Linked DNA regions of Callithrix jacchus. The protein of the gene in region 1 purifies or fractionates together with the protein of each later gene. This does not show direct contact. Links are inferred from orthologs where the notes say so. Each region holds a gene or a part of one and is shown on either strand. Other genes may lie near its edges. The genes, in order: TIMM50 and HDAC6.

Region 1 (4,594 bases):
TCCTCTTGCCTCAGCCTCCCAAGTAGCTGGGACTACAGGCATGCTTCACCACACCTGGATAACTTTTTAATTTTTATATTTTTTATAGAGATGTGTCTCACTGTATTGCTTAGGCTGGTCTTGAACTCCTGGCTTCAAGTGATACTCCTGCCTTGGCCTCCCAAAGTGCTGCAATTACACGTGTGAGCTACAGTGCTCAGCGGTCCATTCTCTTGAGCCCTGACAGCAGTGACAGCAGGATTGCTGTAGCTTTTCCAATGACGTGGGGCAGGAGTGGGTGCAATCTTAAAGAGACTGGAGCTTAGTACCCAGAACCTGCTTCCCTTCCTCATTAGATATTCCTGTCTTTTTACAAATGTAAATGTATTATAAAACATTTCATCAATAAGATGAAACCCCGTCTCTACTAAAAATACAAAAATTAGCCGGGCATGGTGGCGTGCGCCTGTAGTCCCAGCTACTCGGGAGGCTGAGGCAGGAGAATTGCTTGAACCCAGGAGGCGGAGGTTGCGGTGAGCCGAGATCGAGCCATTGCACTCCAGCCTGGGTAACAAGAGCGAAACTCCGTCTCAAAAAAAGAAAAAACAAAACATTTAAGGCCGAGCGTGATGGCTCACACCTGTAATCTCAGCAGTTTGAGAGGCCGAGGTGGGGCAGATTATTTGAGTTGAGTTTGAGACTATACTGACCAACAGGGTGATACCCTGTCTCTACTAAAAATACAAAAAAATTGGCCGGGTATGGTGGCAGGCTCCTGTAGTCCAGCTACTTGGGAGGCCGAGGCAGGAGAATTTTTGTATTTTTTAGTAGAGATGGGGTTTCACCATGTTAGCCAGGCTGGTCTGGAACTCCTGACCTCAGGTGATCCACCCGCTTCGGCCTCCCAAAGTGCTGGGATTACAGGCGTGAGCCCCTGCGCAGCCCCTGCGCCAGCCTTAATTTTAATTTTTATTTATTTTGAGAGAGCCTCCTGTTGCCCAGGCTGGAGTGCAGTGCCGCAATCTAGGCTCCTTGCAACCTCTGCCTCTCCTGCCTCAGCCTCCCCAGTAGGTGGGACTAGAGGGGCGCCCCATAACTCCTGGCTAATTTTTATTTTTTTAGTAGAGACGGGGATTTCGTCATGTTGGCCAGGCTGGTCTTGAACTCCTGACCTCAGATGATCCGCTGCCTTGGCCTCCCAAAGTGCTGGGGTTACAGGTGTGAGCCACCGCGCCTGGCCAGAAGGTTTTGAGGACTGGCTTTTCAGGTCGCTTTCTAAGCCCCAGTTTCCATTTTTGACAATTGGGAGGCGAAGGCCGATGCCCTTACACGTGAGACAAGCGACCTGACTCCTGACTTTTTTTGGGACAAATCAGGCAGCCAATGATTCCCTTCATTATGGCCTCTGCTTTACCTCTAGGCAATCTGACCACTTCCCTTGCTGCATCCTTTGCCTCGGCGGTGGCGCTCCGCACGGCCCAAGTTGGGCGTGGTCCAGATGACTTTGGATCCCAGTTGGTGCCCCCAGGGACATCAAACAGAATCGTTGGGGCAAACGTGCCTGCGGCAATCCGCCCGAAGCCTTTGGTCTATTTCGGGCTTCCGTCCGCCCGCCCCTCCTCTGCGTTCCCATTGGCTGTAGCTCCGGCCCGGGGCGGGAATAAAGGGAGCAAGTGGGTGGGGCCGCGTGGCGTCAGCGCAAGATGGCGACCTCGGTAGCTCTGTTATCGCGCTTGCGGAGCGGGCTCCGGCTAGGCTTGCGGGGACTGTGCACGAGGTTGGCGACGCCGCCCCCCCGGGCTCCGGATCAGGTGAGCGGAACGAGGGTGGCGCTCTGAATGTGGGGTCCCCTCCCTGGAGTTACGGACATATCGCCGCGGCTTGGAGGTTCTGGGACGCCGCACCTCAGGGTGCTGAATAAAACGTCGCTTGGGTTTTGGGCCCCTTCCCAGCCTCCTGGGTGAATAGCACTTGCTCCCCTGGCCTGGAGGCTGGGGGCCCAGGTGTGTCCTCCAGATCCCACCTCCCACCCACGTGGGCGCCGGAGGAGGAGGGGGTTACCTGTTTCCCATCTCAGTGACCACTCAGGTGATTATTTGAGCAGGAGGGGAGTGGGACGCTGGAGTCCCAGCCTGGCCTTGGGAGTTATTTTTACTCCCAAGGTGGTGGTGGTGGTGGTGAGGGTGGTGAGGTAGACGTTTGGATTTCCAATTCGACCTGCCTCCATGTTGTCAGAGACCCAGCCATTCTGACCTCCAAGTCTATCACTTCTGTGTCCTAGTTCCCCAAGCCCCAGACAAGTGATTGCCTCTCGCCGCCTCTGCTCCCATCCCTTACCCTGTACTCTGCTACCTTTTAGCCCCAAGCAGCCAGATGTCATAACTCCCGGTCCTGTCTGCCCCTTCCCGCCCTCCCACCCCTCCCCCTTGTGCCCTGCGTTCCTTCACATCCCAGAGTTTAGGCCTTCCCATCCCTTATTCTCCCTGATCTGCTTTTCCGGGCTCCACACCCTCTAGTCGTGTTGTCTGCAGGATCCTGTGCACCTGGCCTGTTGGCTCTTAAAACTCTTGGCATCCTGGCGCTGGACAGTCTGGTTTTGACCCTCTGAGCAGCCCCACTTCCTGACTGCCCCTCCAGGGACACAGACGTCCAGGCTCTGTGGGTGTCTGCCTCTTGACTCCTGAACTTGATTCTTCTTGGACTGGAATGCTGGAACGATCAGCTCTTCTCTCTTGACCTCCCCTTTCTCAACCGCAGGTCGCTGAGATCGGGAGCCGCGGGGGCACTCAGGCACAGGGGCCACAGCAGCAGCCGGGCTCAGAGGGTCCCAGCTATGCCAAAAAAGTTGCTCTCTGGCTTGCTGGACTGCTTGGAGCTGGTGGGACCGTGAGCGTCGTCTATATCTTTGGTGAGGGACATATCGCTGCCCCCTAGTTTTATTCCTTGCCTCCCTCGTCCGCTGTGGAACCTCTCACTCTTACCCACTCAAACCTCTCCATCTTAATTCCCTGGCTCTCCTCCATAGGGCAGCCAAGTAGGACACCTACCTTTGAAAACCAGGGAATTCTTCTCCCTTCTACCTCTTAAGGTTCTAGTCTTTCTAGTTGGTTCCTGTACCAGGATAGAGGAAAGAGGGGAAGATGGGGAAGGATAGGCGTAGATCAGCTTCCTAAACTTTGTCTTTCCTCAGCACCCAAAAATCCAGCCTTCCCACTAGTTCCTTTATCCCTCAGACTCAAGAGACACAGACCCAGCCCCCTTTCTCTCAAAGACCCAGGAATCTTGGCTCCCAGCCCCCTCCTGGCTTGAATCCAGAAGGCTGTGCCTCTAACTCTCTTCCCTCAGATCCAGGAGTCCAGGCCTCCTATCCCACTCCTCCCTCAGGACCTAGGAGACTGCACCCCAATTCCTCATATTCATCCTGGTTTCCCTTGCAGGAAACAACTCTGTGGACGAAAAAGGTGCCAAGGTGAGGGGAAAAGAGACTGAGGCCTTGCCAGGAGTCCTAGCCTGTGGGTGAGAGGGGTCCCCTTTGGTTTGTTGAGGCTCATTGCTGGTCTGGAGTGAGCCTTTCTTTCCTAAGGACCTTTGCTTATTCCTCTTGGGGTCCTGGAGATTCCTTTTATGGGTGTGATGAGGTTCTGCCTCTGACATCCTAAACCTTCCATTTTTCTCTCTACCTCCCAGATTCCTGATGAATTCGACAATGGTGAGTAAACAAGCACAGATTCTGGAGTCCCCGACCCTCTCAGCTCTGTCATTTGTAAGGATGTGTCTTTCCCCATCTGGTGTCTCTGGCCCCTCCTCCTTCCATTGGGGAGGTTGGGGAGCCAGCAGCTGGATAGCTTTGTGGGGAGGGACTTTACAAAGCCCAAGCCCACTTCCCTGGCCCCTCAGCCCTGAGCAGATGGTCAGGGACAGATGGGGGTGGGGAGCCTTGGGTGGGAGGGCCTGGGGACACAGGGTGGCCTATCTCCAGACACGTGGGTTCCTGTGCCTTAGACTGAGCATCTGCAGCTCCCAACTCTTTACCCAACCCCCCCAAGCCCCTACTCCATTAGTCTCATTTTCAAAACAATGCCTCCTTCCTCCCACCCCATCTGGTTAACCAGCTTTTGGTGCTGAAATTTCTGACAAATTGGATAGTAGAGTAGTTGTCAGTCTTGTCAAATGAAATTGGTGGATCCAGAAAGCCACCTGTTTATGTGGGGACATTTGCAAACAGTCATGTTAATACAGTCTTTCACACTGGGCAGGTGAGTGAGTGCTGGTTTGACTGGGCAGATTAGAATCTTGCTAGCTTCAACAAATCACTATGCTGATTTAACTTGGGCAGGAAAACCTGGAGGTTTAAAGTGTATATGTTTACTAGTCTAACTGCTTTCGATATTGTGGGGTTTTTTTGTTTTTGTTTTTGTTTTTGACAGAGTCTTGCTCTGTCACCCAGGCTGGAGTGCAGTGGCGCAATTTTGGCTCACCGCAACCTCCACCTCCCAGGTTCGTGTTTCTCGTGCCTCAGCCTCCTGAGTAGCAGGGACTACAGGTCCATACCACCACGTCCAGCTAATTTTTTTTTTTTTTGAGACGGAATCTTGCTCTGTCGCCTGGGCTGGAG
Region 2 (3,806 bases), on another chromosome or scaffold:
TCTAGTACAGGAACAACGGACTCTCTCTCCATATGGACTCCTGTTCTGACTTTCTTTACACTCTACAGGAATCCCAGTTGCTATTCTTTTTACAGACAAACTGAGGCAAAAGGCTGGGCGCAGTGGCTTACGCCTGTAATCCCAGCACTTTGGGAGGCTGAGGAGGGCAGATTGCCTAAGGTCAGGAGTTCGAGACCAGCCTGGCCAACATGGTGAAACCCTGTCTCTACTGAAAATACAAAAAACTTAGCCGGGCGTGGTGGTGTGCACCTGTAATCCCAGCTACTCCGGAGGCTGAGGCAGGGGAGTTGCTTGAACCAGGGAGGTGGAGGTTGCAGTGAGCTGACATTGCACTACTGCACTGCAGCCTGGGTGACAGAGCGAGACTCCATCTCAAAAAAATAAATAAATAAATAAAACTGAGGCTCGGAGTGGTTAGATGACTTTTCTGAGGTCCTAACAGCTGTAGAGGCAGCACTGGGATTTGAACTTTGGCTCTCTGATGGAGTCATCTGTGTTTTTAACTCCCACCATGCCCTGTCACAAACAGTACTGGGCACATGGTAAGTGGGACTTTTTGCAAGCCACTTAATTTCTCTGTGATTTATTTTCCTCATCTGTAAAGTAGTGAAAATAACAGCACAGAAGGTTGCTGAGCGGGTTAGTATCTGAACAATGCATAACAGTAACCAGGGGCTAGGTGTGGTGGCTCACACTTGTAATTCTAGCACTCCGTGAGGCTGAGGTGGGTGGATTTCTTGAGGCCAGGAGCTCAAGACCAGACTGGCCAACATGGTGAAACCCCATCTCTACTAAAAATACAAAAATCAGCCAGGCGTGGTGATGGGTATCTGTAATCCCAGCTACTCAGGAGGCTGAGGTGGGAGGATCATTTGAACCTGGAAGGTGGAGGCTGCAGTAAGTTCAGATTGCGCCATTGCACTCCAGCCTGGGTGACAGAGCGAGACTCTGTCTCAATTAAAAAAAAAAAAACAGATCTACCAGATCCAGCATTTACTATATGCCAGGCACTCCTCCATGATTAGCCAGCCTCATAAAGATGAGGAAACTGAGGCACAGGGCATGGGGATACCGAGTCACTTACAAAGGTCAGTGAATTTTCTTTGTCCCAGGAACTTGTTAGAGTCAGTTCAGGTAACAGTAAAAAACACAAACCCTGGAGCCACGCTGCATCGGTTCAAGTCCTGGTTCTGCCATCAGTAAATGTGCCATCTCAGGCACATTTCTTTCAGTCATCTAGTCATCACGCCTCTTTGTGCCTCAGTTTCCCTGATCTTGAGAGGGGAAAAGCTAACCCTACCTCATAAGGCTGCTTTGCCAAGTAACTAAATGAATAAGATACATGAAGTGCTCAGAAGAGTGCTTTGCACACAGTGAGCACTCAAAGCTGTTAATGTTGCTGTTATTCTTATTATTATTACCCAATTACTACCCAGTGTGTGCCCACAATTCCAGGCAGGGACACTTAAAGGAGATTTTAGGAAACTATACTGAATGATAGTGCCAAGATTCCCAAACTACCCTCCCACTGTGGGAAAAGGTTACCAAGAGAGAGTTACCTCTAGGATAAGGATAATGCGGCCACTGGCAAGGCCCATCAGCAGGTGGGTGAGGTGGGCATAACCCTCAGGTGATATCTGGCAGCCCCCCAGCGGGTCCCCCCGTGCAGCGTCAAAGCCAGCTGAGACCAGCACCAGTTCTGGATTAAACTGAGGCAGGGAGAGAAGAGACGTATAAGCATGAGGGTAAGGGCTTTTGGTAGGCAGTAAGTGGTGGTGACAAGGAGACATGGATGGAGAAAAGGACAAATGAAGACATGGAGATGCAAATCAGAGAGATGGAGACACGGGGCCTGAAGACTGGGAGATGCAAAAGCAGAGACTGAAAATGAAGAGAGGAAGAAGAGAAATATAGACTCAGAGATAGAAGAAACAGATGCAGATCTAGAAACATGGAGACAGCAAAAATGGACAGATGGGGACATGAGACAGAGTCATGAGACCAGACTCAGATGTCAAGAGACTGACATGAGAAATGGAGAGACAGAGACATGTCCTCACACACACACCCCAGGGTCAAACGTGGGACACACATACACAAGATACAGGGTTTTATGTACATAGTGCCAAAGAGGGGTGCTCACACACTTCCATAACAGAAGATGGCAACGCAAGCACCACACACAGAGAAGATGGTCACACAAAGCCACGTGTAATCCCACACAGACAGTCCCATATAGAACAGTACTACATATCTGCACTAGTCATGCGCACACATACATACATAGTTTCTTAAAAAGGACAATAACCCACAGCCATCCTGCAGTCACAATCATACACATGCCATCACCACACAGCCACAACAGCCACATGCACTCTGGTGTGTCCACAAGAGCTGGTCACTTGCACATACAGTTGTATACACACAGAAGGCTGTCCTGGCCACCCATGCATAGTCAGATGCACGTGCAGATCCAAAGATGCACACTGGCACCCAGGGTGACAGAGCAGTGCTCACACCTCCTTCCCCTCCCTCCCAGGGTCAGCCATACACAAGCCACTGACCCCCCCGCCCCACAGCTCACACAGAGGGAAGGCAGCTACCTCCCAGTCAGAGACACATACACAAACAGCCAGGGCAGACAGTCAGACAGTGACTGCTGTCACACACAGCCCTCCACATCCAGAGGGTCCCATACAGGCTGTCATAGAGATGGCTGCATTTAGTGACATACAATATCACATCCATCGCACAGAGAAAAGGTGGTGAGAAATACCCACTTGCACAGAATTGCACACACATACTAAAGAACTTGTGATAGCACACATATACAACACAGATCCAGCCAGGACACAGGCCACTGCTGCATAGCCAGAAGGCCCTCACACACACAGGCAAGACAGTCACTCACACAGTGTCACACAGAGAAGGCAGTCCTGTACAGCCACCTGTGTGGTCAAACACACAAGGTAATCACAGTCATCAACTGCCCCAGTAGCCTCATTAGTCACCCTTGGGCTGTCTCATATGATCCGCCACCTGGCAGTCAAACGCACACATGCTGAGGAGGCAGGCCCAGGCTGCCACCTGCACAGGTGTATCACATACATCCTGAGATCTACACTGAGCTTTACCTCGTAGGCAATAGGAAGCACCAGGCGATGCCAGGCAGCTAGGTAGTCAGCATCACCTATGCGGGGCCCATTCCATGCCACGTTGACGGTGAAGCCTGTGCCTGCAGCCCGGCCGATCTGGCTGCTGGCACCCTCATCTCCCATGGGGAAGAAGGTGCCATGATCGTAGCGGTGCAGGGACACATAGAGTACACTGCCGGGGAGGGGGTGGGAAGGGGGCCATAGCTGGTTAGGGGCTCCAATACCCCTGAGGTGCTCACCCATCTCCCTGACCACACCACAGCCCCTGACTGCAGCATCTTACCTGGGGTCATCCTCAAACATGTGCTGAGTTCCATTACCATGGTGGACATCCCAATCCACGATCAGGATCCTGGGTAGGAAGGAGGCAGAAGCTCAGTAACCTAGGATACTCACCCCGTGGAAGAGGGCTGGGCTAGACCCCTGGGGTCTGCAGAGATATTTAGTGTGGAGTGGCAGGACACTGGGTCCTGTCAGTTAAGGAGAAAAGTATGATCCTGGGGTCCCAAGGGCTGTCTCGTAGACCCGAGCAAGTGCTTGGGGCTGGACCTTGGGCTCTTTTGGGTCATTGCTAGGGAACTGGACCTTGGGCTCTTTTGGGTCATTGCTAGGGAACTGGACCTAGACCTC

Evidence for each region.
Region 2: the proteins of TIMM50 (region 1) and HDAC6 purify together in Homo sapiens (affinity purification with mass spectrometry; 3 studies listed by BioGRID and IntAct, counting the BioPlex papers as one, with this or other methods). This does not show direct contact. The link is inferred for Callithrix jacchus from reciprocal best matches to the Homo sapiens genes TIMM50 and HDAC6.

Annotation. Positions count from the first base shown.
Region 1 is NC_133523.1:34,962,162-34,966,755, forward strand, and holds the start of TIMM50 (mitochondrial import inner membrane translocase subunit TIM50), read left to right. Parts: upstream 1-1,666; 5' UTR 1,667-1,682; coding exon 1,683-1,790; intron 1,791-2,736; coding exon 2,737-2,887; intron 2,888-3,416; coding exon 3,417-3,448; intron 3,449-3,666; coding exon 3,667-3,688; intron 3,689-4,594. UniProt on the Homo sapiens protein: Essential component of the TIM23 complex, a complex that mediates the translocation of transit peptide-containing proteins across the mitochondrial inner membrane. Has some phosphatase activity in vitro; however such activity may not be relevant in vivo.
Region 2 is NC_133524.1:49,398,905-49,402,710, reverse strand, and holds part of HDAC6 (protein deacetylase HDAC6), read right to left. Parts: intron 3,529-3,806; coding exon 3,460-3,528; intron 3,349-3,459; coding exon 3,156-3,348; intron 1,731-3,155; coding exon 1,581-1,730; intron 1-1,580.